4 linked regions of the Caenorhabditis elegans genome follow. The protein of the gene in region 4 interacts with the protein of the main gene of each other region in a pairwise test. Each region holds a gene or a part of one and is shown on either strand. Other genes may lie near its edges. The genes, in order: dve-1, hmgs-1, atfs-1 and ulp-4.

Evidence for each region.
Region 1: the proteins of ulp-4 (region 4) and dve-1 interact in a two-hybrid assay, tested with the Caenorhabditis elegans proteins (one study listed by BioGRID).
Region 2: the proteins of ulp-4 (region 4) and hmgs-1 interact in a two-hybrid assay, tested with the Caenorhabditis elegans proteins (one study listed by BioGRID).
Region 3: the proteins of ulp-4 (region 4) and atfs-1 interact in a two-hybrid assay, tested with the Caenorhabditis elegans proteins (one study listed by BioGRID).

What each region holds. Positions count from the first base shown.
Region 1 is NC_003284.9:426,685-435,939, reverse strand, and holds dve-1 (Homeobox protein dve-1), read left to right. Parts: upstream 1-2,140; 5' UTR 2,141-2,146; coding exon 2,147-2,327; intron 2,328-2,439; exon of another isoform or gene 2,440-2,968; coding exon 2,969-3,095; exon of another isoform or gene 3,096-3,789; coding exon 3,790-3,904; intron 3,905-3,956; coding exon 3,957-4,066; intron 4,067-6,434; coding exon 6,435-6,597; intron 6,598-6,647; coding exon 6,648-6,947; intron 6,948-7,252; coding exon 7,253-7,400; intron 7,401-7,940; coding exon 7,941-8,119; intron 8,120-8,169; coding exon 8,170-8,253; 3' UTR 8,254-8,890; downstream 8,891-9,255.
Region 2 is NC_003283.11:5,681,643-5,687,086, reverse strand, and holds hmgs-1 (Hydroxymethylglutaryl-CoA synthase), read left to right. Parts: upstream 1-2,497; 5' UTR 2,498-2,499; coding exon 2,500-2,604; intron 2,605-2,648; coding exon 2,649-2,777; intron 2,778-2,827; coding exon 2,828-2,980; intron 2,981-3,026; coding exon 3,027-3,252; intron 3,253-3,298; coding exon 3,299-3,533; intron 3,534-3,580; coding exon 3,581-3,769; intron 3,770-3,823; coding exon 3,824-4,035; intron 4,036-4,084; coding exon 4,085-4,224; 3' UTR 4,225-4,366; downstream 4,367-5,444. Other genes in the region: F25B4.7 (ADP/ATP translocase), read left to right, coding at 4-119, 218-449, 499-605, 673-746, 795-1,041, 1,089-1,208; F25B4.4 (Elongator complex protein 6), read right to left, coding at 1,392-1,496, 1,547-1,807, 1,864-1,984, 2,030-2,199; prp-39 (Pre-mRNA-processing factor 39), read left to right, coding at 4,457-4,518, 4,802-4,879, 5,412-5,444. UniProt on the Caenorhabditis elegans protein: This enzyme condenses acetyl-CoA with acetoacetyl-CoA to form HMG-CoA, which is the substrate for HMG-CoA reductase.
Region 3 is NC_003283.11:14,191,662-14,198,836, forward strand, and holds atfs-1 (Stress activated transcription factor atfs-1), read left to right. Parts: upstream 1-2,784; 5' UTR 2,785-2,821; coding exon 2,822-2,917; intron 2,918-2,971; coding exon 2,972-3,042; intron 3,043-3,091; coding exon 3,092-3,467; intron 3,468-4,553; coding exon 4,554-4,625; intron 4,626-4,671; coding exon of another isoform or gene 4,672-4,677; coding exon 4,678-4,758; intron 4,759-4,891; coding exon 4,892-5,544; intron 5,545-5,642; coding exon 5,643-5,760; 3' UTR 5,761-6,031; downstream 6,032-7,175. Other genes in the region: ints-2 (INTegrator complex Subunit homolog), read left to right, coding at 1-43, 99-278. UniProt on the Caenorhabditis elegans protein: Acts as a transcription factor during mitochondrial stress by activating the mitochondrial unfolded protein response (mtUPR).
Region 4 is NC_003280.10:8,127,345-8,135,857, forward strand, and holds ulp-4 (Ubiquitin-like protease 4), read left to right. Parts: upstream 1-2,615; 5' UTR 2,616-2,664; coding exon 2,665-2,812; intron 2,813-2,861; coding exon 2,862-3,043; intron 3,044-3,207; coding exon 3,208-3,309; intron 3,310-3,350; exon of another isoform or gene 3,351-3,637; intron 3,638-4,945; coding exon 4,946-5,494; intron 5,495-5,542; coding exon 5,543-5,710; 3' UTR 5,711-7,400; downstream 7,401-8,513. Other genes in the region: ctns-1 (Cystinosin homolog), read right to left, coding at 7,535-7,660, 7,902-8,132. UniProt on the Caenorhabditis elegans protein: Protease required for deconjugation of smo-1 conjugates from target proteins which is necessary for cell cycle progression. Required for respiration and the maintenance of normal mitochondrial homeostasis.

The sequences.
Region 1 (9,255 bases), on a different chromosome or scaffold from region 4:
CAAAAAAAATTTTTGAAAGTTTTATTATGATATTCCGTCATTTTGGGACAACCACTCCACCTTTAGGATTTTCTTACTCAATTTTTGAATGTCCTACAGTTTTTGTATGTAAGAATCATATAATAAAACAAATTTGAAGAATCATACTGAAATCAGAATATTTATAATTCCTCTTTCAAAAATACTGAATATCATATAACAAGGGGCAAGCACCCACCATAACCCATCACATTATTCCATTCCCTACCATCTCTTTCTCCATTCGGTCCGGTCCATTGAGTTGGTAAACATATAATGTATATCGTATGATAAGGCCGCTGAATTTCAATTGACTTCCCCCCCCCCCCCCTCCTCTTTAATCTTCTCTTTTGCGTTACCGTACGATACGTAATATATGTAAAACTGAGATTTTTTGCATTGCCCCTTGAAGTCTAGAACTTCTCGACTTTCAAATTTGTAAGAAGGGTCTCATTTACCCTATACTTCTACTTCATGCTTCTTGTATAATCCCATCCGCGGGGTTGGTGTCTTCAAGCAACCGGGATTACTCTTTCCGGCTTATTCGAACCCCCTCTCCTTGCTTCAGTATTGCTCCAGATTGCAATTGTTTCAATTAGCCGCTACGATGACACCTAAACTAAATCCTCTAGGCTTAGGGGCACAAACATTCGTTTGTTAGAACTGATTATGTGGAGATGGAGCAAGATAATACAAGTGTAGAATACAATGATTAATCAATGAGTCTCACAGAGTTTTGCAAAAATTCTGAAAAATTAGATATTTCCAAAACCACGTTTTATACCAATTGTTGATTTTTGACTCATAGTAATTTTAACAATAAACCTTGTTAGATAAATTTCTAGAAACGGATTTGAGTTTTGGTGTGGCGAAGTATCAAAAGTGTACACATTATCTTATCGACAATAATCCCAAACCCACTCGGAGCTCCTAAGTAAATAGTGACTTGCATTCCAACCACTGTCTTATCTATAACTGGCAGACCCCCTCCTCTCCCGAAACGCGCATCCTTAAAATTTCTATAAGTAACTTAACCTTTATCTCTGCTGACACATCGGGACAATTCTAATTCTGATGCGCCCCTTATGCGATGTGTAGCGTCGTTATTTTCGATTTGACGGTGAGGAAAAGAGAAAGGCGGGGTTATAGGGTAGAAGAGTGAAGAGAGAGAGAAAATCTTGAACAAGTGGATTGTCTTTGTTCGATTCTTCTTTTTTCCTCCCTCAACGACGAAGACTAAGACGATGCCATACCACAACGACCCGAGGCTTTTCTCGAACTAGTAGTACATGATCGTTTCTACAGATGGGGGAGGGTTGGCAACCAGCCCCATCTTTCTTTTTTCCACTGTTTTCTACCTCACCTACCTATTTCTCCTCATCTTCCGCATTCTCTGCCTCTTTTAGACTCTTCCATCCGGTTCCTACATTATGCCATCTCGATCCCGACCTCCCCCCCCCTCAACCCCTCCTTACTACTTTCGCTCCATTCGTCGTCTTCAATCTCTTCTTGGCGACGACGTGGTCGCCTTCTTTCAGATTTTCCATATCAAATCTTGTTTTCGTTTTCGTTTCCATCCATTCTCATCTTCAACTTGTCTTCAGTAGCGAGTAAGAAGTAAGAAGAATGAGTACATGTCGCCTGATTCGTTGTTTTTATTTGTGTCTTAAGATTTCTAACCCCCTCTTGGACAGACTGCAAATCTGTTATCCAAACTTGGTGTCTCCCGTTCTTTTTTCATTAATCGCCTTAACAAATCCCACTATCTCCCTTTCTTCCATTTTTGTTGCTCTCCGCTCTATTCCATCGCAATTACGGTTGAATAGGTGCGCGCTTTCTTTTCCACCTTATTTGCTCCAACTAGCCACAACTACCATATCTCTTTTGCTCTTGCTCTCTCTCTCTCTCTTACTCGCTCTTTTTCTATCTATCTTCCCCGCATCATAGAAAGCCCCGCCTCCTCCATATCTATGAAAAGTGGGCGGGAAGTCCGCACACCAATCGGAGCGCAGAGCTAAATCTATCCAACTATCTTCTGGCTCTTCTTTCGATTCTTCTGCTATTAGTTTATCTCGATTTCTCATTTTTATTTTAAAAATTTCAAATATAAAGTTTCATTCAGCTAGATATGTTCCCAATGAGGGTAATCGTGGAAACAGTTCGCTCTCAACATTGCTTGACATGCTCAAACGAAGGACACATGATCACAGACACTTATGCAATTGTCGCAGGGACCACTACATTAAATCAACTCGTCGAAACTGTACTAGCAGCTCTTGGACATTCGAGCATGTCGACAAGTGCTCGAGGTTAGTTGAGAAAACATTTTGAAAATTGCCATAGACCTCGTGACTAGCTAAACTATTTTGGTATTAGTAGTACACATTCCTTATCTTCTTTTCTTTCATTTTTGTTCCTTTTTTTCATTCGCCAAAAACGGATAACAGATCTATCTTGTGATTGACAGATTTACCCTACTCTAGGCGAGTAAGTAATTGAGTATTGAGTGGGATCTCCTTTTCTTGACAACTACTTTCAGTTTCAATTCAATCTCATTGAAGCATAACGTGGTTGCGCAACTTCGCTATGCTGTAAGAAGATATACATCTTCCTCCTACCCCGAGATCACCCACTTTTTTTTGGCTAAGACGACCCTACCCACTCATGTGTTTTGTTCTGCGCCTCTTGCCAGATCAACGGTATTTCTGCGATTTCAGCGCCCTCCTCCCATTTTCTCACTTTCACGTTTTCTTCCACCTTAGTAGAAAGTGAAACAGACTGTCGAACCTGTTCTTTTCTCGGCGGCTTTGCCTCCTTGGTATCTACTTTCCCAAAGATTATGCAATCATGTGAAAGGGAAATCGGAAAGAAAACGAAGGGAATTGCATAGGGTTTTTTAAAAAAATATTTTGCATTTGTTGTCCGAAAATCGATAATTCAGAAATTTCAGGCCTCATACAAGTAAACAACTGGAAACCCTTGCCATTCGATCAAATTACTGAAAATTTAGATGACACTGTGGAAAACCTCTTCAAAGATATATCATCACATGTAGTGCTAAAAATATTGTCAAAACCGTAAGTGTTTCCTGAAGTATTCTTGTTTCACTCCGCACTATAACCTCATCTATCCCATCCAATCCCGCTCCAACCAGACGACTGTCGATCGGGAGGTTTGTGTGCTCCGGGGGGCTCATTCTGTAAAGGTGAGCAAAATCGCGCCTCACAACCCCTATACATCCTCTTTAGAACTACTCAAAGAAAATGGCAAACATAGGTATGTACAATGCGCGCCTCGCACACACACACATATATATAAACACATTCAGACATGTGTACAGGAGAGAAAAAGTGATGGAAGGAAAAAAGGGGGAAAACTCATTGAAATTGGCGGTGGCTGAAAAAAGATACATTTTGGGGCGCATTTCTAGTCATCAAAAGTCAAAGGAGCGGGAGGGTCCGGGGACCAACAAAATTATTTACCTAGATCCCCGTATGACTTATCCTATCTGTTTGCGGATTATTGTCGCTTCCTTCATTTCTTTATATCGTTCATATTCTATTGATATTTGGCATTTAGTTTGCTATCAAACATGGCACTCACAAATACCGCAAAAGCTTTAGCGCTTTGTCCTGCGACGCAATTTTTATGAGACCAATGAAAGCACAAACCATTCACGGACCGAATTCGATTTTTATAGCCCTATCCCTGGGCACACATATGCCTATACACACACACAATTTTATGACCATCATCATGATTTTCTTTCAGATCTACGGATTCAAATTCTGTGCAATGTATAAGTGAGGTGAAGAATAAACTCCTGAAAGCTGCAGTAAACAAAAATCCCAATGTTTTAACAAATGTGGATAATCAGCAGGTTAAGGTGGGTAGCTGCTATTTTCTCAATAATTCAATTTCAATTCTGATAATTGCAGGATGTCATCAACACAATCATTGCCGGAGATGAAACACTCTTGAATTCCGAACAAATTGGTGCAGTCAACGAATGGCTTGATACGCTGGAAACGAACGAGGATCGTAGAAGGTAAGATAGCGCCGCCCATGCAATGAGTTGCGAGCCAGTCAGCCAACCAGCCACCGTAATCCCGCTGTGCGTGTTGGATGTGAATAGAGGGGGGGGGGGGGCAGAGTTTGAGAGAAAAGACAGAGAGCAGTGACACGGGGGGTAGCGCCAAGTTAAGCCGCTATTCGGTGCTCGAGTTAAGCCCCCTCTCGGCTTGTTTGTAGAAATAGACTTTATGGATTGGTTAGGAATTTTGAGCTGCAGGCAGGATTGTGTATACATTGTGGTTGAAGGAAAAGTTATGAGAGAGCACCCATTTTGTTTATAAATTTTTGGGGAAATTTAGGAGATGGAATTTTGCTGTCTCTAGATATCAGGTAAAACCGATTCCTATCGGATATCATATAAACAATATACTTTTCCACGTCTGTGCATTCTTATTCACATCTGAAAAGAGAGGACTTAACTTAAATAGTTAGTTTCGTTTAATTTCCACCGCAAGGATTCATTGGAGCTCCCCCCCCCCCCCCGTCAGAATTTCAATTTCCTGAGGTTGTCTTCATCAAAAACCCGCCTTTTGTTTTCAAGTGTCGTAACAATCAGAATGGATAGGCGTCGGGGATTAACAAGCCGGCAGATTGTATCATTTGCTCTTTCTTTGGTGCCCATCATCACCATTCATCTTATTAGTGACAGCCCCCACACACAATGTGCGAAAACGATGATTGTTTGGGATTGGAAAAGAGTAGGGGATGGGTTCAATGGGAAGGGGAAGGCAAAGTGATGAAGATATACGTGAATGAAGTTAGAAACACTAGTTTATACCGAAGTATCTAAGAATTGCTTTGAAGACAAGTTTAATCTATAAAAAATTGTTTGAAACTGTAAAATCGTTATATAAAATTGATTTTTTTTACTTTATTACCCATTTGCGTAGCAGAAAACGTTTTTTTTTTTTTTTTTTTTTTTTTTTTTTTTTCTAAGCCTAAAAATAAAAAACTACACACGGTTTTATTTTAAAATGTTAAAATTTATTTTTTCAAAATGAGGTGAAATAATCCACAAGTACCAAAAATTTTCCTTGTTCTTAGTGCTAAAATAATAAAACACCGTACGCCTTCTATTATTTGCCAACTTAAAATGGTTGAGTTCAAAAATTTTTGAAAATCTAAAATTTTTAGGAGACGATTCACCAAATATGTGGCTTGTCAGAATTTAACAATTACCAAAACTCAAGTTTTATTTCGTAACTCAACTATAAATTCCACTAAGCCGGTTGACAGTACGGTTGATGCCCGGATAAGAGAGCAGTATTAGACTGAGATGAAGATAGCTAATTTCAAAAAAAAAACGAGACAAAAGACAAAACGATCAAATTCGGTCGTTCTCTAAGTGCCCTCCATCATGCCATTGTGTCTTTCTCAATTTCTCAAGAGAAGGAGGCTAAGAGATCAGGACTGGTTTTGGCCCCTTGTTGACCCGTGAAAACATCTCTGAAACTGCCACTGCCTGCTGATCTACATTCCCGAGACAACAAAGGGAAGAAGTCAAATTATAAGTGATGGAGACAGTTGTTTTCCACATATTCCTTTATTGAAACTCCTTCTTCCAACGAGAAGAAAAAAGGAAAAAGAAAAAGCTGAAATCAAGTTTTCCAGTCATCGAAGCACATCCAAATTTTCGAATTTCCAACTGTACAAATAATTGAGTTGTGTTGTGAGTAATCTTATTGTGACATACAGACACAAGAGAGGATACAAAACATGTACATATTGCTCTGAGGGAATGGGAACAGCAGAATAAAGGGCAAAATGGGAAAGGACGGCGGTGACGCATTCTGTAAAGAGTAATAAAGAATAGAAAAAGGGAGATTGAATGCGTTGTGTGCATACAGTGATATATCCAAACTGTTACCCGGGGGGGGGGGGGGGGCGCAAAAACAAGAAGAAGGGGACCCAGTATAACTATCAGAATGGAGTCGTGATTGGAGAAAAAGTGTCAGTAAAAAATGATTAAAAACTATCCTTACAAAAAACTTGTATACGAGTAATTACACCGTATTTCCTCTATTTGTATTGTACCACATTGTTCAACTTTAACTGTTTATATCTCAGTTATCGTTTGTGCTATTCGAAGTTGTTAACTAACAAAATATTTTTTCAGTTATTTTTCTATAGATTCGTAGTTAAAAATATATGTATATCTTTAAAGTGTATTTATACTCTTTAAAATGAATTAAGATATAACGTTTCAAAGTTAGGTAGTCGGGTGCAATACAAATAGAAGAAATACGCTACATGATTTTCTTTTCATTCCACTCTCAAGAAAGATAAACGCCTGCTTTCATATTACTTTCAGTACACATAATAATGTATGTATTTAATTTCAGCCCAACACAAGTACAAAGATTCAACACTCTTTACGAAATTCCACGTCTTGATAAATGGTTCAAATCCGATGCAAATCCATCTAAACAAAAAATGAACAATTACTTAAGCCAGCTCAATCAGAGTCCGTTCAGAAAGAACAATTCCAAGATCAGCTATCAACAGGTGAATTTAATGCGCCTACATATTACTCCATTAATCAAATGAATTTCCAGATTTGCAATTGGTTCACACAAAAACGCTCGAGTTCCCGTACCTTAGCTCCAGTAGACCTAGTGCAGGTCTCGTCAGCTCAGACAGCGGCGCAGCTGCTCCCGGGATTCCAACTCAACTTGCTCCAGTCCCTGTTTGGAGAACAACGTCAAAAATTTGATTTTTACGACAAACTGGATGAAACCAAGATTGTCGGCGGCTCCGACTCGCCATCTCCAGCCGATGATGAGATTCATAGCAATTCAGATGAAACTATTCAAGATACTTTGTTTTCCATCAATATTAAACCAGAACCGGAAATTGTAAGTTACGTTTGACTGTTTGTGCCATAGTTAGGTTGATTAGCGTTGCTCGTGCTGAAAAGCTTTGAAAAATCACGCTAAAAACGGATTTTCGGCTATTTCGATTCTGATTCACATTAAAGATAACATCTCCCAAATTGCTAAATATTACCGATAAGGTTATAAAGACCTAACACTACGGCCGAAAATCTGAATTTATTCCAAACTGTCAGCGTCGGCTGAGCGCCAATTAAAAATATTTTTCGACACAATTATGGTCCACCTTTAAAAATTATTCATCCCAAAACAAGCAACATTTCCTACAGGATTCAATTGCATCCTCCCCGGATATGGCAAACTCAATGCGCGAATCATTGTCCTCGACCTCCCCAAAGCTTCTCAGCGGGCTCGACCTCGGAGCATTCAGCACCCACTCATCATCCACCAACTCCATGCAAAACGCCAACTCATCAGGTACAACAAAGAGCTTTAAAACAGACAGGCTAACGGAAAAGAGAGGGAGATGGGTTGAACCAAGAACTCATAAATTAGAAGCGAGCACACACACACAAACACACATAGACATACACAAAGTGCGCGAAGACACATAACAAAGGGAGAAATGTGGGGCGTCGAATTTCGCACAGACAACCATTACGATCACTGAGATCTGAGGAAAAAAAAATGAGGCTAGGTATTGTGTTTACAGAAATAAAACAGAAAATCAACTGCAAACTTGATTTTGAGAAATATTCTAGGGATTTTGTACTGGCTCAAACTTATCGAGAAGGTGGCCATGTTCATGATACTCAGTCTGAAAACCTATATTGGTTGCTATCTCTAAAACGCTCTTAGATTGCGTTTGCTATGCATATGAAAAATGACTGCATAAAAATTCTCTATCTTTTCGACAAGAAAACTTTAAGGTGGAATTTTACTTCTATTTTTCGATAAAATCACTGACGCGGAACGTTTGAAAAAATTCAACGATAAAGCAAATAATCTCCGTTTTAGTGTTTTCAGCGGCTCGCTCACGCCTGATGTTCGACCCACTCACCGAGCTACCCGTCCTCGAAAAATGGTTCGAAGAGAATCCTCACCCGACATGGATGCAAATCGATCAGTACACACAATGCTTGAACAACTGCGCTTATCGAGAGAATTATCCGCATATTAGTCAGCACAATGTGAAGGTAATATTCTATATTAATACTGATTACTAGTTATCGAATTCGAATTGCAGATCTGGTTCAAAAATCGACGTGCAAAATGCAAGCGATTGTTGAATGGAATGCAGGAAAAGCTTGAGCAGAAGGTTTTCGTATAAAATTAAAATTTCCAACTTTTTTCAAAATCTTATTATCTTTAATTTCGAAAGAACATTAAGTTTTTCACATCAATAGTTCCTTCTTTAACCGTCATACTGGTGTACCCCTTGAATTCCTGATCTTCAGTGCCCCACAATTTCTCTTCAACGAAGAGCAAAATCACTACTTCATTTTTCATTCCAGCTGTGATTTTTGTCTGTAAGCTACACCTAATCGCTAGCTGTATATCTCGACGCATCTTTCGTTCTGCAAAACTTCTAGTCGCTTCTTGTCTTGTTTAACCTTGATGGGAAATTAAGCCGGCTTTAATTTCCTTCTTTCTTTCAATCAACAATTTCCCATCGCTTTCTTTGTCTCTTTCAATGTTCCACAGATCACATAGTTTTAATGGTTTTTCAATGTTTCCCTTCTTACCGTCACACTACTTTCCAATATTATTCATCTTAATTTTATGTCTACCACTTCCAATATCAATCTTGCCCACCGTTTTCTCAATTTTTTTTGTCAAATTTAAACTTTTCTCTGCTTTTCAGTTGTGCTTCAGCCCTTTATATGCCAAAAACTTTTATTCAGAATTTTGACATACAACCACGTTTATTTCTTTTTATTTGAATGTTTTGAGAAATAAAGTTTTTTTTTTCAGAAAAAAAATTTTACAAAAAATGGTCAATTTTTTATTTAAAAAATTGGCACACAAAAATAAAAACAGACATGATTGTAGGAGAAAATTTTCAGACTTTTCAAGAAATTATAACTTTTAAAAAGCTATTTTTGGAGAAAAAAGCTCCCTATTTTAACAATAAAGTTTTGAGCCATTTCACGCGTGCACCAAAAAAAATGTCTGAGAAAAATGTCAGGGGTACGAGTTGAGTTTTCCTTTTCAAATTTTTTGTAAAAAAATATTCAGAACACTATCTAGAGCGACAAAAAACTTGGTTGGTGAAAACTCGTTCTAAAATCTGGCACTGAAGTTACTTCCTTCCGCTAACAACTTGTCAGGT
Region 2 (5,444 bases), on a different chromosome or scaffold from region 4:
CAGGTGTATCGAGAGATGACGTCATAAAGTTTTCAAAAGATTTCATGGCTGGTGCAACAGCAGCTGCAATTTCAAAAACAGTGATTGCTCCAGTGGAACGGGTCAAACTAATCTTACAAGTAAGTTTTCAGTGAATTTGAGCATTTTTTGATGTGTAGAAAATACTTGAAATCATAAAATTAGCTTTTGCATCATTTTTTTAATTTGCATTTTTCAGCTCCAAAACTCGCAGACAACGCTAGCTCTAGAAAATAGATATAAAGGAATAGTGGATTGCTTTATCAGAGTGCCTCGAGAACAAGGATTCCTTTCATTTTGGCGAGGAAATTGGGTGAATATATTAAGATCGTGCAGTCAAGAATCTCTAGGATTATCTTTTAAAGAATTTTTCCGGAAATACAGTCTGGAAGGAGTTGATCCCAAAACACAACACTCCAGATGGTTAGTAGGTTGGTTTAATGAAAACGATGGCTAAGCATATTTAATTGTATTTTTCAGGAAATCTGGTAGCTGGAGGTGGATCAGGATGTGCTACTCTTGCCACCATCTATCCTCTTGATTTTATAAGAACGAGGTTGGCCATCGATTTGGGAAAGAGAAAATCGGTAAAAGATTCTTTTAAAAGTTTTTTTTTTTAATTAATTAAATTTTCTAACGATTCAATGTTTTCAGGATCGCGAATTCACGGGAATGTTCGATTGTGCTAAGAAAATAATTAAAAGTGACGGAGTTCCAGGCTTATACAAGTAACTGATTTTTTTTGTGTAACTGATTTCAAATTATTTATTTTTCAGAGGTCTGATTCCATCGCTTCAATACATGATTATCTATCGAGGAGCATATTATGGTCTGTTCGATACAACGGCTCCATATATGAATAGTGACGGAAAGATGACATTTACTGAAGCATTTCTTGTTGGACAAGTCGTCACTCTGATCGCTGCAATGACATCTTATCCACTGGATACTGTAAGAAGACGACTGATGATGGGTGCTGGAAAGAAGACGTTACCGTTCAATAACACAATATCCTGCATCAAAGTAAGATCATTTAATTGCTTCTCGGACAAAGATTTATTTATTTTCAGTACATTTACACGAAGGAAGGACCCAAGGCATTTTTCCATGGAGCCCTGGTGAACGCGATTCGTGGAACTGGTGCAGCATTGGTTCTGGCGATTTACAATGAACTTCAGAAGTACATGTGACAACCTTCCATAATATAGATAATCTTTAAAATTTCTAGTGCATTCTCTTATTTGTTCGAAAATCAGGCTCTTTTAGAAATACGTGTAAATTTGTATGTTGAAGCCTGTGCCCATTGTTTTCTGTTATGATAACGAAGAAAAGCTTTTTTTGAATCATTTTTTTTATTCAGTAACAAAACAAGATCACTGATCCACAGTTATATATGATCCATTGATTGTGCGTTCACCGGAAAGAAGAATTCCTTTCGTTGATGTTGGAGCAGATGGTGATTTGATAGTGAGCACCGCCTGAATTTCAACAATAACTAATGAACGACAATATTGCAGATTTCACGAACCTTTGCTGATGCATCTTTTCCAAAACCATGGCTTACTGGCGACATCTGGACAAATACGTGGCAGCGGGGTTTCAGAATATCCACAGCATTCGAATGGATAGAGAAAGAAGCGAGAAGAAGCGCATTTTCTTGTGATAACGTCTTTAAATGTGTGTAGATTTTGTGCACGAAAATGGTAGTTTCAACTGAAGTTGCTCCAAATTGCTCCAATATTGAAAGATCATCGAAGAGAATAACTGACGCAGAGGAATCAATTAATTTCTGAAAAATTTTGAGTTAAACAATTTTTATTCGAAAAAAGATATATGCTGAAATACCTTGTACAACTCGTCCATAATTTGTTCAGAGGTGATATCAAATAATTCGAATGGTTTCAAGAAATCGTAGAAACTAATTTGAGTGGGATTCCATCGAACTCCAGCCTTCGAACAAATCAGTCTATAACAATTAGTTTTACTTTCCATTTTATAAAGATTTACTCACTTGTAATTTGTTTCAGACAATTTGGTCGAAACAATAGCGACTTTTTGACTTGAAGTCGAAGCTGTAGAAAGGAAATGAAGAACAAATGGGAGTGACGACGCGTTATCCACTTCTTCACATACAATCAAGCCCTTAATTGACTCTTCTTGTCCTTTTAGAATTTTCAGCATTTTTTCTTTTTCTGAAAAATGTTTTTTTGTATGAAATCAAATGAAGAAAACGAAGTTTTGCAGAAAAATGAAAATGATACAATTTTAGTTTGTCCGAGAGGAGTACAAATGACTCGTAAATCGGTTTCCCCTCCCTTGGGTCTCGCAGGGAAGAGCCGTTGCCTCGACGACATTTACGGGCATTTTGATATTTCAAAACTGTTTTTTTGGCAAATTTGCATAATGAACACTTTTCGTCGATAAATCATCGTTTTTTGTGATTTTTTGCAATTCACATTTAAAAAAGAGTTTATTGCAGGCATGAGCTTGGGTCAATTGTCATATACACCAGTGACGGATGTTGGAATTGGAGCAATTGAGTTGTATTTTCCCCAGAACTTTGTCGATCAAAATGATTTAGAAAAGGTATTAATACCATTATTTCTTCAATATTGATTCCTAAATTGCAGTTTAACAATGTATCCAGCGGAAAATACACAATTGGACTGGGGCAACAGCAAATGGGATTCTGCTCGGACAACGAGGACATCGTATCCATCTCCCTTACAGTCACAAGGAAACTTATTGAAACTTACAAAGTAATATTCGCTATCAAAGTACTTAGTTTCCTCAGTTTCAGTGTGTTTAGATCTCGACTGATTCGATTGGCTGTTTGGTTGTAGGTACCGAAACAATGATCGACAAGAGCAAAAGTGTGAAGACAGCTTTAATGGACTTATTTCCTGGAAATTCGGATATTGAAGGAGTCGACATCAAAAATGCCTGCTTTGGAGGCGCACAAGTGAGTTTTTTGTCTCTCAAAATAGAATCTTCAATTATATTTTCAGGCACTGCTGCACGCTATCGATTGGGTCACAGTGAATCATCCGCTTGATAAGAAAAACGCAATTGTAGTAGTCGCGGATATTGCAATATATGAAGAAGGTCCAGCGAGATGTACAGGCGGTGCAGGAGCGATTGCTTTTCTTATTTGTCCAGATGCTTCTATTCCGATTGATCGGCAGTTTTCAGCGTGTCACATGAAAAACACGTGGGATTTCTTTAAGCCAATTAGTAAGCTATTAATTTCTCTATTTACTTTTAAAAAATTAAATTCCAGCGCCGATTCCGAGTGAATACCCCGTTGTCGATGGATCATTATCATTGAGCTCATATTTGGAAGCAGTCAGAATGACATACACATATTTCATATCAAAAGTTAATCGCCATACAACGGGTATCGACGGGCTGAACTCATTTGACGGAGTGTTTCTTCACTCACCGTTCACGAAAATGGTTCAAAAAGGCCTGGCTGTGATGAACTATACTGACTCGCAACTTCGTCACAAGCAATTGTAGGTTGATTAGTTTAGAAAAATTTTCAAATGTTTATTTTATTCAGAAATGGAAATGGTGTCGATCATAAACTCGATGAAAACGATCGCGCTGGACTTGCAAAAATGATCGAATTGTCTGCTCAAGTTTGGAAGGAAAAAACAGATCCATATCTTGTTTTCAACAGGCGAATCGGAAATATGTATACTCCATCACTCTTTGCTCAACTTTTAGCATACTTGGCAGCAGATGATTGGTATGATGAAGAATATACCGATTTTTAGAGCTAATTTTTAAAATTACTTTTCAGCGTCACCGGGGAGAAAAGCATTTTATTCTTCGCCTATGGAAGTGGTCTAGCGTCAGCAATTTTCCCAGGAAGAGTTAGGCAGACATCTAATCTTGATAAAATTCGTCAAGTCGCAATAAGGGCGATTAAAAGGCTCGATGACCGAATTCAGTTTACTCCAGAAGAGTTTACAGAAACATTACAAAAAAGAGAAGTTTTCCTACGATCAAAAGGTGAGTAATTCTAATAGTGATTGGTTTTTAATGTCATTTTGTTTTTCAGAGATTCCAAAATCTCCATCCGAAACTTCATTGTTTCCCAACACTTATTTCCTTGATAACATGGACAAGCTTTATCGCCGATCATATACTTTACACGAGGAACCAAACGGTGTTCAAAACGGGAACGGAATTCATCATTAAAAATGTATCTTTTGTTTTTTTTTTTTTAGTTTTTAATTTTATCACATCGTTTGCCATAGTCTACTTCTTTGTTACTGTTTTTTATTCGCTCATTAGAGTTGTATTTTCTTTTCTTTTTTTTAAATTAAAACGAGTTGTTTTTTTCTGATAATTGATTTTGTTGAACACGTGTACTATTGTCACGACAATATTTTCCATTTCTCGAACGGCTCAATTTAATTTCAAAGTTAAGATGGGAAGAGATCGGTCGTCAAGCTCGGACACAGACGACTACTACCGCTCCAGCAGCAGCAGGTATGCACCGGACTTTTGAACGAAACATGTTTCATTTGGAGGACCATGATGTGAAGCGGTTAAATATAAATTCCAGAACAGCTTGTGGGAAGCTTCGTGAGCCCCACGAAACCACTGCTCTGAGCATCTTCAAAAACTCACCGCAAGCTCGGTTCTGAAATTTCGCCGCTTAAAATTCATATCTCACCGTTCCTGAATTTTTTCACATGAAACATGCCTAGTAAAAAATCCTGATGGCACCATCGGCCCCTCAGAAGTAAACCATCCAAAATTAGAATTTCAGAAAAAGAGAAGATTCACACCGCCGTCGCGACGATCGGCATCGGGACTCGGATCGAGATCGAGATCGACGAAGGAGAAGGTACGATGTGTTCTTAGTTTTGGATTGCATGATGTACTCATGATGTCAACACTCACGGGTTCTTTTCCCTTTCTGGATTAGGACGTTTCCCACTCTAAAAAGGGTTAATTTCTGATGAAAAACAATGAAAAATCAGAAAAAAACAAAGAATTCTCGGCAACAAACATACACGTTGCATAAGCCCTCATTTTTACAGAAAAGGTTTGCGTTCATTTCCGCTCTTCGCCACTCTCCGAGTCTCAAATGAGAAAGTGATAATAATTGTGTTATTTTGTGTACATTTTATAAATAAAATAAACCGCCGCTTAGTACTTTTTATTTAAATCCGACTTTAGCGTTTAGCGTCAACTGATGGGAAGGAGCACACAAAAGCTGTGGATGAATACGGTTTTGAGCAACACGAAGAAGCTTAATAATAATAATCATGATAATATTTCTAATTTCGTACTATCAAAATTGTTTTCTATGTTTTTGCATGCACATTGAAGAAACTCGAAATAATTTACTCTACTTTAACTAACCAAACTTTCAGCCGTTCTCGTTCCAACTCGAATCGTCATAGAAC
Region 3 (7,175 bases), on a different chromosome or scaffold from region 4:
ATTATGGAAACATGTGGCGCCGGCTCTCATGCTTCTAGCTGTCGTAAGTTAATTGAAATTAAATTTTAAATTTATTTTTATTAAAAAACCTTTTTCAGGAGTTTCCATCACTTGCTGATAGTATCAATCGTCTTCTGACTCGTGTCGCAACAGCTGCGAAAAATCGGCTTGCAGTGAGATGTGGAATGTTGGCTGGAGATCCACGACATGAAGAATATCAACTTATCGCGAAAATTTCCTCGTTTTTGGATAGGAATTCGGCACGTGAACGACTTTAAAAATTATGTTTATCTTTTTATTAAATTTTCAACTTTTATTATCGTCTCTATTGTTTTTATGTTTCTTTTATTTTAGTATTTATATTTAATTTTGTATTAACTCCTTATTTTCTTTCGAAGTTACACCTGCAAATGTACAAGATTCCCATTCACGTTTAACGGGTTCCTAATCTCGTTTCTTTCACTTTTGTCTTTATGAAATAAATTATCCCGATTCAAATCATTGATTTTTTGCTAGTTTTGCGCTTGCGTTAAGAGTCAACTTGTAGAAATGAGCTCATTGCAACCCTGGAAAAAAAAATTTACTTCTACAGGCCGCTCTACAGCAATTGAATTGTCAATACAATTAATTCTAAAACCGAAAAGATCTTACGTTATTAGGGTAATACAATATTCTGAGAATGTTATTAGGGTAATACAATAATCCTGAGAATGCGTATTGCGCATCATATTTGACGCGCAAAATATCTAGTAACGAAAACTACAGTAATTCTTTAAATGACTACTGTAGCGTTTATGTCGATTTACGGGCTCGATTTTTGAGAATGAATTAAAACCATTTATTTATCGATAGAATTTTTTAAAAAGTTTTAAATAAACGAGTAAAAATGGAATATCGATGTCTCTATTCGAAAATAAATTCATTTTATGCCGAATTCGAGCCCATAAATCGACACGAGAGCTATAGCTGTTATTGTTTCTTGAGTTATTATACTGAGTTATTGCTTCTTCTTCAATTTAATTGGTATCTTTTTTAAATTATCAAAAAATCTGAAAACTTGGAAAGCCTCAAGTTTACTCATAACTTTAATCCTGTTCAAATGGCAAAGTTCTTCAATCCAGATTACAAGAGTGACAAACAAACAATTTGCAATATCTCGAATGACACATTTGTCATAAACTTTACTGATGAATTTTTTAATTTCGAAAAAACAAGGTGATTGAAGGTTTATTTGTTTTCTTTCAGTGTTAATATATACATTTTATAAATATTTATGTCTTTCGGTTTTTTGTTGCTAGTTTTCCAATAAATTTTCACATTGAAAAACAATTGTAATAAATATTTATTAAAAATAATAAAAGGACAAAAAAGCAAAGTACCGTAACGGTCTAAAGGATTGTCAACGATTTTTAAAGGTGGGTCTTGACGCGCGAGTTTCAAAACGTCCATGCGCCTTTAAGGATACTGTAAAAGTATGCATGGAAGTTTATTTTTTTTATTGTTTCCGCATTTTTTTCTCAGTTTTCCCTTTGTTTGGGGGTTTTTTCTTTGTAAAATTTGTGTTTTGCTTGCAAAGTTATTTTTTGAAGAAAAAATGTCATGAAATTTTATCATATGAAACTATGTATTACTGAAATTAATTTATAGATCCTTGAATTTTGCAAAAATTTTGGTCGCAGAGAACAGTTCAAATATTTATTTATTATCTTTTCGAAAAGTGTAAAACGATTTTCATAAAATTCGAGCACAGAACACAAAATCGTCGCACACAAATTCGTTTGTCTTTGCTCTTTTTTAGAACCTCCAGCTTCTTCACCTTTGTGCAATCCATTGAAACCTCCTTCAGAACCTCTACGACCGCCCGTTAGACTCCTCCTCTCCATCACGTTCTCTGCCATTCTCCGCTTCTTGCCCAATGTTCCCGACTGTCTCTCCGTCTGCGTCTCTTCTCTATCTCTCCTCTGCGACAGACGCACTTTCTCTCTCTCACTCACTTGTTCACCTTATCAAAATCTTTTTTTTTGTGCGATGTGGTTGGTTCGACGGTCAATTGTGAATTGTCTATGGTGTAGAAATCGATTATTAAATCTTAATTACACTACTTTTTCGGTCCAATGGTGGTATAGAGCACTGCCAATGTGAGTCATGATGCAATTTGCATGATGGAAGCTTCTAGGCTTTTCTATGCAATTTTGAATTTTCTTTCGATTTTCATCAGTTTTTATAGATTTTTCTTGCAAAAATCAATGTTTAGAAATCCCCATAATGGTTCGCTGCAAAAAAAGGATTTTTGGTTCAAATACAGTGAAACTGCCAGAAACAACCTAATTTTATGACGAGACTTCTTGAAAAAATCCAACAATTTTTATGGCGAGTCAAAATTTCGAAAAAAAAAAACAAATTTTCGTTAAAATCTGAATTTTGTTGATTTTTTTAATGCCTTAAAACTTGTGTCTGAATCAAAGATTTAACGTGATACAAACACCCAAAACATTCGATAATAGTTATTTATACAAATTTATGGGATTTTTCAGTCGTTTCAGGACCCAAAAACCCACAAATTTAATTAATTTTTCTTTTGAAATATTTCAAAAATATCAGTTTCTTTTTAAATTCCATCGTTTAAAATATTTTAAAATATCTCCAATTTTAATAGAAACCGCCTCCTTTCGCCTTTTGTCATCTGATATATGAAATATGATATGCTTTACACATATATCCCTCATTCTGACCTCATACCACTTCCATATTTCTCAATATTCTAACCTATTTTTCCTTTTTCAGCCAAACTCTTCATTCCATCTGAAACAGTACCATCAAAATGTTTTCCCGTGTGGGACGTCTCACAACTTTTGGTGCCCAGGCTGTGTCAAATTGTCCGTTCCGCAGAGATAACATCTATCAGCAGCCGTTGAAGGTTTGCTTTTTGTTGCAGAAAAATATTATTTTTGACATGAAAAATGTTTTTCAGGTAACCGCACCGATCAATGACCAGCTGACCAGTTTTGCGCACAGCTTCTCCGATTCAGTGAGGCATAGAACGTGAGAATTGCGCGAAAAAATTCAAATCAAGAAAAATATAAGCTTACAGGACCAGCTTCGGAAATGATCCATTCCTCGGCGTACCCATGGACGACGATGAAGTCATCAAAGAGCTCGAGCTACTGGACCTCGACTCATGGCACACTAAGCCTCGGGCTCCGTGTCCTGCACCATCAGACGAGCTGGAACTCGATCAGTTCTGGGAGGGAAAAAACGTGACGGTTTGCGGCAGAGATCCTAGATTGGGAAAATCAACTGATTGTTTTGAGCTGGAAGCATGGCGACCGACCGACTCATGGCAGAATGGTAGCAGTGTTGGACATCCACATGGTCATCAGCAACAACAGCAGACATGTCAGCAGCCGCCCACGCATTCAAGTACAACAGAAACAATGCATGATTTCTCCAATTTTGGAGATAATATGGTACGGGAAAAATAGTTCTTAACCATTGTGCAGATTTATACAACAAAAACTAACCATTAATTTCGATTTGTGTGTTTCTAATCGAATCTTTTTCGCATTGCCGACTAAAAATCCCCCAAAAAGACCTTTCATAACGAGAGTTTTTAAAATTTTCGAAAAAAAATCAAATTTAGCTGAAATCTCCAATTTTGCCAACTTTAAGCCGCCTAAAATTAGTTTTTCTTTTTTTTTTGGTTGATTTATGTGCATTTAAAGCCGAAATCAACACAAAAAAAACACGAGAAACATTAAAAATAAGACAATAATCAAAGGAAAATTAAAATTAATTTCCGGCTGCTGGAAGTTAACAAAATTGGAGAATTAAAGGTGCAGTAAAGTCCAAAAATTTTTTATTTTTAAAAATTTTCTAAAATTTTTTAATAGTTTTTTTTTCAATTTTTCAAAAATCAAAAAAACGGCCGAATTAAATTTGAATTCCCGCTCAAATTAGTGACGTTATTTTTGATATTTTCGTGTTTTCTGGCTGAATTTACCGGTTTTTATTAAGTTTTTCTTTTATATTTGATTTGAAACAACGTTTTTCAATTTTTCAGACACTTTTTCGGTTATCAAGTTATCTTCACGGAAAAATGTTCGAAAAATTGGCAAACGGTGCTTTTTTTGAGATCAAATGTAAAAGAAAAAATTAAGAAAAACCGACGAATTTAGCCAGAAAACACGAAAATATAAAAAATGGCGACATTCATTTGCGCGGGAATTCAATTCGACCGTTTCTTTGATTTTTGAAAAATTGAAAAAATCTCAAAAAATTTAGAAATTTTTTTTGAATTTTTTTACAGTTATATTCGGTTATTAGGGTCTATTTTCTGTCATTTAAAGCAAAAAATTTCGACTCTACTCCACCTTTAAGCTAAAATTTGGTCATTTTAGCGAAAATTTTGAAAATTCTCGGTATGAAAATCCGGGTTTTCGACAGCATGCATTTTGATCCTAATAAAGCAAAAACCCTGAATTATAACATAAAAAATACAAAAAAATAACATCACACCACCCACTTTCCCGCATGCTAATCTGCTCTCTTTTCAGGGCTCCCCGCTCTTCCAATCACCATCAAAATCGGCGATCGATCAGCTAACGGGAACTTCCCGAATAGATGAGGTATCTTTTTCCCCTAATCCAAGAACTGATTCTATGATTGAAATAGTTTCAGTACGGAATGCCACCACAAGATCGAAAATTGTCAAAGTTCGAAATGGACATTGAGCAAGAATCGAAAGCTGTCGATTGGGAGGTATGACTTGGAAAATAATTTCTTGCTAATATTACACTTAACACTTTTTCGTTTTTTCTTGGAGTGTTCAAAATATTAGTGACCTTTAAAAATTAATTTTAAATGAAAATCATTAATAATTTAAATTTTTTAGGCATGGAATCACTACTTGGAGAGCGACGACGACGTTTTTAAGCGTCCAGAAGCATTTTTCAAGGAAGAACCCATGATAATGACGTCATCCGATTCGTTGATGACTTCGTCAACTTCATCTCCAGATTCTGGAATAAGCCTCTATGATCCGATGATTCCACCACCATCATCTCACTTTCCCAGCTTCAACCTGAGCTCTTCATCATCAGCGTCGAATCTTTTGAGACTGTCAACTCCATCAGCTCCAATGCAGCAAGAACATCGAGCACCTGTCAGAATGCACCATGATGTTGATCTTTTCTCTTCTGGACCTCTTCTTTGTGTTCCGAAACAAGAAGACGTTTTCGACGACTTTATCCAGCAGAGAGATGATGACGATGAAGACTATATTCCAGCATCTGAAGCCAGAAGAACAAGTTCACGTCTCAATCGGAAATCTGCTACGCCAACTTATCTTCGGCGTCGTGATTCTGAACGTTCGTGGACGCCAGCTTCCGATGACTATTTTCCAGAAGAACATCAGAAGTTTAAGAAACGTGGAGTTGTTCTGAAGCCTTCAGTCGACGAGGAAACCGATCGAAGACGAATGTTGAATAGAATAGCAGCAGTTCGGTATAGAGAGAAGAAACGAGCCGAGAAGAAGGGAAGAAAAATGTAAGAATATTTATTTTAAACTTGCAATCTTGAAAAATATAATTTTAAATTTTAAAAATTTAAAGCAGATAGATATCTAAAATTTAATATTTTTGCAGGGAGTTCCAAGAAGTAGCTGATCGTAATCGAATTCTTCTTCAAAAAGAACGTCAACTAAAGCGTGAGATCAACTCGATGAAAAAGGAGCTTCGTAAAATGGGCGCCATTATTCAATAATCAGAATTCGAAACAATTGTTCTTTTTTTCTGTTCTTTTCAGTTTTGCTAACTTTTTTTTTGGTTACATAGTTTTTCTCCCTTTGTTCACCCAACTGTAGATCATTTTTCATAGAACCTTTCCCCCATCTTTTTTTTCTCTCAAAAACTGCCCATTTCTTGTATTTTTGTTACGGGTATTCGATCCCAAATTTCCCATCCAATTTCAACTCCTCAAATCTAAACTGCTCACATCTCAATCAGAAAATCAACTCAAAATGAATGATAATTTTTTTAAAAATTGTTTCACAAATGTCAAAACATTTCAATGATTTTTCTTGTGTTCGTGACGCAGTTGTGTAACATTTTTACACAAACATCACTGCTGCACGATGTAATATCATCGCCATGAGACGGTAAACTTTTAAGAAAAATGTGGTTTGATATCAAGGTTGAACATTGTTCCTGTGTCGAATTACGCAGCTCGTGTACTCCCCGAGGAAAAGCTTTTACAGTTTTTTGCTAGAAATGCAGAATTTTGTTCTATTTTTGCGAATTCTTATTTTGAATTTACCACTCAGATAAACGTTTTCGCTTCTATTTAGAAGAAAAAAGCAGATATATTTAGAAATGGCGCTAGCTCCTAACACGACATAATTAGAAATGCTTTTTCATCTAAATAGCAGAGCTTTTTATAACTAAATAGGTCTACTTCTTCTAATTAGAAGTACCTTTTTGTTCTAAATAGGTCTACTCTTTTCTAAATATAAGCGCATTTTTCTTCTAAATATGTCTACTTCTTCTAATTAGAAATACCTTCTTCTTCTAAATAGTTCTACTCTTTTCTAAATATAAGTGCGTTTTGCTTCTATTTAGACTCGGAATTTTTAAAAGTGAATTTTTGGAAAATGTGATTTTGGATTCCGGAAAAAAAAAAGATTTTCTATTCTCGTTCAGCTCCCCTGCCGACCCTGTTCGTTCACTTTTTCCACAGGTAGTACCCTGTGGAATCTAGACACCTCTTCTAAGCCTGCTACCGTTCTCGGAGAAATTTTCTTGCCACCACCCGGAGTTGAACCCTTGACCTTCTGCTTCACGATCTGAAACGTTACCTGTTTAGCCAACCTTGCGCGTGTGAGAACTAGTTGCGACGCTAATTAAGTAGTTCATCGACTTTTTTGCATTTATTATTCCAGACCAAACGTTTTAGAGGAAATAATCTTTGGATTCCACTGAAGTTTATTATCAAGAAGATTTGAAGTATTGATGAAGCTTGTGCCGACCATTCTCGAAAAGTATGATTGGTCACTATATACGTTATGCTCGTCTGATTTATCACTTCGCCCAAAGCGATGATTCTAATAGTTTATGAAAAAGTGGAAAAGAGGAGCATTTAATCTCCTATTTGAGAGAATTCTACTGTTCGTTCTGAAGTTT
Region 4 (8,513 bases):
TGTAGGATGATGCACTTTCGATATAGACACTAATTGTCGTCGTGTTGGTTATCACAATTCGCTCTTATCATTCATAAACCCATTCATTATCTTTGACTGCAACACACTCGTTACAGGTGTGTACAATTCGCAACATTTTTGGGTAGTGAGAGCACTGACTTGGCCGTGATAACAGAAGAGAAGTGTGTTATTTGTATGCGCACCACTCAACTCATCTTCTTTCCCCCTCGTTTCTCCCCCGAGCGGCAGTAGGTCCAATAAGATTGTTGCACTTTTGGAATTGGTCATCTCTTTTGTAGCTTGCATTTGTATTTCTCTGATCCCTCTATTCGGAAAAAAAGTATTGCTTAAATTATTTCTGAAGTTTGTAACTGTTTGTTTTCAGATTTAAATAGAAAATTTTATTTCACTAGATTTTGTAGTGCCTAAAGGCGCACGGATTTATTCAGATAGGTCTCGGCGCGCATAAAAGTTTATGGTATTTTTTCGAAATCTGAGTTTTGAAAACTGATTTTTAACTGTTTTTCACAGAGTTATTAAAAAGGAAACGACGAAATTTGCTGAAAACCACGTTATTTCATTGAAAATGCGAAGAAAAAACAAAACCTAATAAAATAAAATGAAAAACTACCATAAACTTTTTTGCGCACCGAGACCCATCTGAATAAACCTGTGCGCCTTTAAGAAGGCACTTCAAAATCTAGTGAAATTATGTTTGTCCCTGACTTCGATTAAAGATCTTAAAATAACCATATGGTATTTTAGACTAAAGTTGTTTACGTTAGCTGTATTTATTTATTTTAAGCTTTTTCAAAATGTTGAGTATAATCCGAGATGTGTGGGTGATCCGTTCTATCATTGATGTTTCCGGCTGAACAAATATAATTATAGCTCGAGCTTAATGTCCTTTTATACAAATCTAGTTGTTTCAACAATATTTAATTGCCGATAAAAATGTATGATACTCTGTTGTTCCCGGTTTCCTTTGTTGAGCAATCTTATGAAATAATATATTTCTGCTATGTGACATTTAATCATACGTTGAGCTTCGATGTGGCATCTTTAAAAGTGTAATGTGGTCGAGTTTGATCTAAAAAGTGTCACGAGACGTACCTAGACTAGTCAACGTCTGTCTGCAAAAACCTCTGTGATCAATCACATGCGTGTGAAATTTTGAGACTGAGAGAGAAGGTCGTTAACGTTTCAAGGTTCTTCTCGACACCGATAATACGCTTGTACTTCGAATCTATCTTTCGATTTCTAAATCCGTTTGCTTGAGTTTCTTCCTCAAAAACTTCCGTGTTTTATCGATATCGAATACATCTCTCCAGTAGTCACTCTCATATCATGCATGCCAGGATAAGATATGAATATCATCATATACTGAAAAGTCAGAAGACAGAGAGCCTTGATCCTTACATTCTCCTTCTCTTATTCGCTTGGATGTCCCTTTTCTTGGTGTCCGCCCATTCGGCCCATTCGTCCTCTCCTCAATCACCCCCGTCTGCCCTCGTTCTATCTCTCCGTCTCCACTACCCCCAGGCTGTTGAGCGGCGGCGGCGACGGTGAAGGCCCCCATCGGCCTGGGGAGGGAGAAAGAAGGAGGAGAGGACGGCAGTTGGAAAGAAAAAAGGTCTCTCCTTTTCCCTCCTCTCGCTGTCGCCCTGTCGCTCGATGCCACATGCAGTTGGTTTTACCGTTCGCTCTCTGTCTGGTTTTTTGTTGTATTGGCGGGCGCGATACAAACGGCGAGGCGCCAAAAACAGAATTTGAATTAGCACTGCTGTTTTAAAACGAACAAAGTTTCGACATTCTACGAAGTTACTTGGCATTTCGTCATATCTTACCAACCGTTTTTCTGTACGAATAGAACAACAATGAGATGTTCACGTGCTTCCTAAACATCAATATTTAAGAAGTGTTTCATTTGTTTCTAATAGCCAATCATGTGATTGCACCTGATCTGCGCTTTTAACATTTGTTTGTTCCAGATTGCAGAAGTTTCAGTTGTTTTCAAAGGATCCGTCGATCTAAATAGCAGAAGGATGATGCATGCGGCAGCATGCATGATCTTGTTGTTACTGGTCATCATACGCCCTCAACATCAACTTCAAACCAAGCCGTATTCATCGGGATATTCATCACTTTTATATAGAGTGTAAAGTATTCAATATGTATGTTCTATACTCAATAACCCTGAATTGCTTGTATTAATACTGTCATACTGATCGATTGACAGTTTTCTTATCTTGGTTGTCGAAGATTGAGATACATTTGTAAAATGGCCTTAGCAGTTCCCATCTTTCACTTTGTTTAGTGAACTTGCCCGTCCTTGCCGTACTTTTCATCCGAAATACCACCTGTTGGTTATCTATGACGCCACGCCATCCTCAATTCCGAAAATATAGGTCGATGCAATGTGAGTCTGGGACTCGGAGCCATTAGTTTTTTAGATTCTATCTCTTTTACATTCTTCGATGCACTGAAAGAAGATTGATCTTTTTTGATATTTCTCTCATTTCGTTTTCTGATTTCTCTCAAAAAGTTGTCATTTAAACTCTTAATCTTCTATCGTTTTCTATAATATTTTCTTTCTATTAATTTTATTTTTTCAGAATCACCCTCCTTATATGTATTGCACGTAGTACATGAACAATAACAGATATGGAAGTGTCAACGTCTTACTGTACGCCGGCTGTCAATTTCAAATATGGCAGTTTTCAAGATTCAGATGTCTCAATGCGAGAAGATGACCTATTCCGGATGGGGAGCTACAATTCTCAAGGGTACTACGCAGACGGAACTCATCTAGGTAATTTATCAAAAAATGTGATATCTTAAATTTATCAAAATCTTTTCAGATGGTTCTATCGGAGAAGAGGATGAAACGTCTTCAGGAAGTAACGATCAACACATGGATTTTGAGGAAGACGATTTCGATATGGAATCTTCAATGACAGAAGATTTGGTGGACGAAGATGAAGAAGAAGAAGACGAGGAAGATAATGACGAATGGACAAATCAGAAGCGGACTGATAATCAAGTGGGTTATACCTTCGGGAATACAAAAAAATGCGTATTGGTCAGAGCACTGAGCAATATTCGATGATTGGTGATAAATATATGTTATTATGGCTCCTCCTCTTATAGCCTTAAATGTCATCTGATTTTCTGAAAAGTTGAAAAACAAAACGATTCCTTTTATAGAATAGCGTTGCATATTACGCAGCTATGGAGATGCTTCGAATCCGTTTCCCATTCCAATCAATAGCCATTCGAATTTCGGATTTTTGCTGTCTCCAGGAGAAGGTATGTAATCTGCTCTTCACTATTTTTGGATTATACTTGTGTACAGCTACTCTCAAACATAAGAAGGCGATGACTATTTGCATACCCTTTTGTTGTTTTTGTGTAGGTCGTCTGCGTCTCTTACTATCTCCTATATTTCAACACTTGTCTAGACTTTCCACAAGATTTGGGTCCATTTTTATTAGACTGGGGGTTGTGAGAACAAGGTCTCTATCCTCGTATCTAGTTAATCGGTCTATTTTGAATAAATTTGCCGATTCAAAGAAAGGAAAAATCCGGAAGGCGAAAAAGCGCGAAGTGCACTTTAAATGCACTTTCTCAGTGAAATACACTCGCCCACCACACTGCCCAAACCTTTTTTATGCTGTGTCTCCCAGCGAATGTGTATGTTGCGGTTTTTGTTTGCCTTGCTGGCGGAGAAACAGAGGAACGAACTTGTTTGCGAACTTCAAAAATCCTGAATTAGTTTGAGAATTTTATCCGATAAAAACAATAATATTAGAAACTTGAAAACAAATTAAGTAATTAGTATTTTGGATTTCAGATTTATCTAGTTTTCAAATTCACCAACTATTCTTTTGTTTGTTATCGGTGAAGACACAGTTCCCATTTTCAAGATAACAAATATCCCGCGAGAAGTTGTTTGTTGTGCAAAACAAAAATTCATTGAGTTTTGACGAGAAAATTAGTGAAGCGGTGGTGGTTTTCTGTCAACATCCATTCTCACTTCATGGTCTCAACTCCCCATCTAGAGCGGTCTGCTTCTAGTACTCAAGGGTTATGCGCACTCTCTTTTTGTCTCTAACTATGACTACTAGCAGATCTTATGGCAGCGCGCCAAAAAGGCGAGAGTTCGTGTAAAAATAGGAGGGTGTTCGGTGCCAGGTACGTGAAGCGCGGGCTCAGCCGCGGGGCTCCGGGCGCGCAGAGAAACGAGACAACAACTGAATTCGATGTGTGCGAGGAATTTGTGTGTTGAGCGAACTGAGATGTTGGCACAGCGCCAGCCAATGAAAAGAAGTTGTCGTGGAGTGGGGGAATAATCTAATGCTACCTTCGCATCATAACATGTAAACAAAGACCGTTCGAGAACAATTCGATTAATTTCATCCAGATGACAAGGGTCGCCGTCTAAATTCCTTTTCCGATTTTCGTAGACCTCCGATGTCATCGTCTTCTTTTTGTGTGGGCAGCTGCGACAGTTCAGGGTCATCTGGTAGTAATAAACTGGTTTTTTTTTCGAATCGCGCGCGCAAATTTTTCGCGCACGCACCTCCCATACTCTTGAAGAAATTCAGATGATTGAAGGATATCGTAAAATAATGAGTAACAAGCAATGTAATTTAGTGTTGTGGATTATGGGGGAAGACCGAACGGCGTAACTCGTAGATGAGCAGCAGCAACTGCTGATCTTTGATCGGCTATTCGAACAAAGGAACATATTGTTACAACAGAAAAATGCGCGAAGAGGTCAGGAGAATATGTTATATTAAATTGACGAGTCGAATGATTCATTATTTAAAGTTCAAGTTTATATACATTCTGATGTAGTACTGTAGTACAATCTCAAAAAAAAGTCTGGAGAAACCATTTAAAATATTTTTGATTCACAAAATTCATTAGTATATTTTTTCAGGATCTTCTCAACGATACGATGATCGACTTCTATTTGAATCACATTGTTGAACACGTACTACCAGACAGCAATGGTTCAAATGTCACTGTTCTTCCATCGATATTTTGGCATAATCTTTCTTTACGGCAGCACGCCTTTGATTCTGAAGACGAGAAGATGATGAGTGATGAGCAAAAGATGGATCTCAAATTCGGCGATTTGCATGATTTCGTTGCTGATTTCGATCTCCAAGATTTTGATTACATTGTGGTTCCTGTAAACGAGTGGGAGCATTGGTCATTGGCAGTCATATGTCATCCGTTCACTGCTCAAGCTCGCACGGTTATCTTTGATTCGCAGCTCACTGCGGATCTTAACAACCTACAGAACATGGCTACATTAATCGAATCATTCATGAAGTATTCATACGAGAAACGTACCGGAAATGCTATGCCTTTTCCATTGCCGTGCATTTTACCACAAAGAATGCCTCAACAAACCAACAATTTCGACTGTGGTATTTTCATTGCAGAGTTTGCTAGACGTTTCTTGCTGAGCCCGCCAAAAGATGTAAGTTCATTCTTTTTGACTGATCGTTATAAAAAATATTATGTTTAGCTCGACAACTTCGACTTTGCACGAGAATATCCAGATTTCTCAACGGCCACGAAGAGAACTGAAATGCAACGAGTTGTTCTATCACTATCCACGAACAGAGCTCGTTGGCGTCCGCTTGTCGAATTGCTCAATGGCTATAGCACTGCCGCACCTCATCGTGCACTTTAAGCATATCCTTCTGGAATGCATACTTTGTCTCATATGCCCCGGTTCTTTACCGTCCGTCTTCCATTTCTCATCCCTTCCTGCCGAATTCTCCCACTGAAAAGTCTTCCGAAGAACTGTTTCTCTGATGTCTGAAGGCTTTCGTGACAAGGGAACCTTTTGTTATATTAACCCATTTTCACTCAAAAAACCACCAAAAATTTTCAAAAAATATCTCTCCATTTCATTGTTGACCCTTGTTACTCTGTTTTCTTCTCCTTATTTCTGTTGTTAACCACATTCACTTTTTTCTCAGCTGATATCCGTTCATCATTGTTCATCGTTGAACTATTTATTCGGCGTTTCAGTTTCCCCGTTCCCGCCCTTCACCGACTTCTAGACACAAAACAGGTGTTCCGACAATTTGCGAGTTTATGTTTCTTCGTTCCTTTACGATTCCATTCTTTCCGACTGCGCTTATATATCTGTAAGTATTCCATCGTTGTGATCAGTTTTTAACTTTTCTCAACAATAATCGGTTTACCTATAGTATCACGTCACCTCCATTTCTTCCCTTAACACCTCCATTTTCATTGAATTCAAATTCATATCCCAGCTTTTTCTTCACCTCTTCCCACTTTACTGTTGCCTGCCTTAATCCCCTTCTATCCACCATTTAGACACTTTCCTTCAACATGGAAGATTGGGTTTTCCGTGCCCAAAACTCTACGTTCACATGGGTTTCGTTGTTTCTTTGTTCCAGCTTGTAGTGTGAGAGATTTGTGTTTCCTTCAAAAAAATGTCTTTAAGGTGAGTGTGGAGAATGATGATGATTTTTTATGAATTTTAAAAAGCTGAAAAGTATTAATTAGTGAAGATAACTGTTTTTATGCCTGGTAATTCATAAGATGACATTGTCTGATCCCTCTTACTTTTCAAATTTTTTCCATACCCTTGCAATCTGTACATTTTTTGTTGGGTATCTAGCATTCAAATACTTGAAGATAATTTATGTCACGAAATTCCATCACAGCGTTGCTCTCTAATGACGAATCTTGTTTCTGTTTTAGTAGTTATTGGAGATCAGCGCTTTCTTTTCAAAAGTCGTTGACAAAATGTCCTTTCAAATCTTGAATGTTGGTGCATTTCATTGTTATTGTAAAAAATATCAAGTCTCCCGCTCTCTTTCTCGTTCGAATCTTATGTTTTTCTTTCGTTTTGAGCCAGCTACCATCTCCCTGTGCTTTCACCCTCTTGCTACACTTCTTTAATAGTTTTGACTGTCGGATCCATGACACAAATTCCAAAATATATTTGGTAATCGAATATTGAAAAGAAATCAAGAACGACATTTCTCAAAAATTCATTTTCAATCTTCAATTGTCATTTAAAATTTTGGTGTCCGCTGGTTTTCACATCTTGTTATATTTATGATTTCATTTTCTTTTTTTGTTTTTTTTACTAGCGCCTCGGTTGATTGGATGATATGGGTCGTATCGTTTTTCTACATTTTTGATTTGATAATATTATTTTTGTCAAACTTCCATGTTATTCGTTCCTACCGTTTTTTTCTCCCGTTTTCCCAATTTTTATGTGGTTCTCTTTCTTTAGATTCATAGGGTCTGTCCTCATATTGTTCCAAAAAAGCTCTTCTAAAAATCGTTCCATGTTGTAAAAGATCTTGAGCAAAGGCAATAAACTGTTGATTAAAAGCTTAAAAATCTTATTTCTCACTGAACAAGTTTATCACCGTAGAATCAATATTATTCAAATCACGATATGCAATAGAAATTTTGAATATGTACAACAAAAGGCACCGAGGAGGGCAAAGAATTTGAATATTATGATCTAGTCATGTACAATAATAGGTTCCGTTGACTCCATCGATTCACTGTCGCCGGCATATTGTTCAGCATCACGAGCAATATTGTCTGGATTGGGATTGTCAACACCATGATATTCATTGTGTGGAACCTTCAAAAAGTTATATTATTTAAAATATCAGAATTCAATTAATTTTTAAAGATTTAGTAATCTAACATAAAGTTGTTGGTAAGTAATTATTTTTTGAATTAAAACATATAGAAACATTCAAGGAACCTGATCATAACTATTAAAAACGACTCGTTTCCTGATTTTTCTTTGGTTCCTGAAATTTTTTGTTCTATTCATAATTTTTTAAAATAATTAAAGGGATAAAAACTAATTGACTCACTTCTGCATTTGGATACAATACATAATGTTGAACCATGAAAATGATGTCAAAGAATATTGAGACAAATCCCAGTCCGAATTTGACGGGATTCGCATAAAATGCAGACCAATCGTTCACATTAACTGCTTGAAGAATCATTTGAAGAATATCGAGAGTTCCTCCTGTGAAATCTAGCATGATGTTTCCGATTGACCATCCAACTGTACTTTTTCGGGTATAGTTGAAGTAAGCCTGAAATTATTTACAATTTATTTTAGATCACTTGTATTTTTTAAAATTAATTTTCAATAGTTAAATATTTTTTGATAATTTCTCTACGATTGGATAAAAATATTTTCGATTGAATAAAATTATAATTTAAATTAACATGTTTTCGATAAAACATCATTTTCCCAGCTTTTTTTCGTGAATTTTTGATGACGATACAGTACTTTTTAAGGCGCACAACTTTTTGAGTTAAACAAAATCTGTCGTATCGAGACCGGATACCGTAGTTTTGGCGCAAAATTTCGCGGTCAAGTTTTGAAAACTTTTTTGGAAAAACTAGTAATTTAAAAATAATAAAAAATAATTTCAGGCTAGAATACTGTTTACAAATGGACAATATGAAAC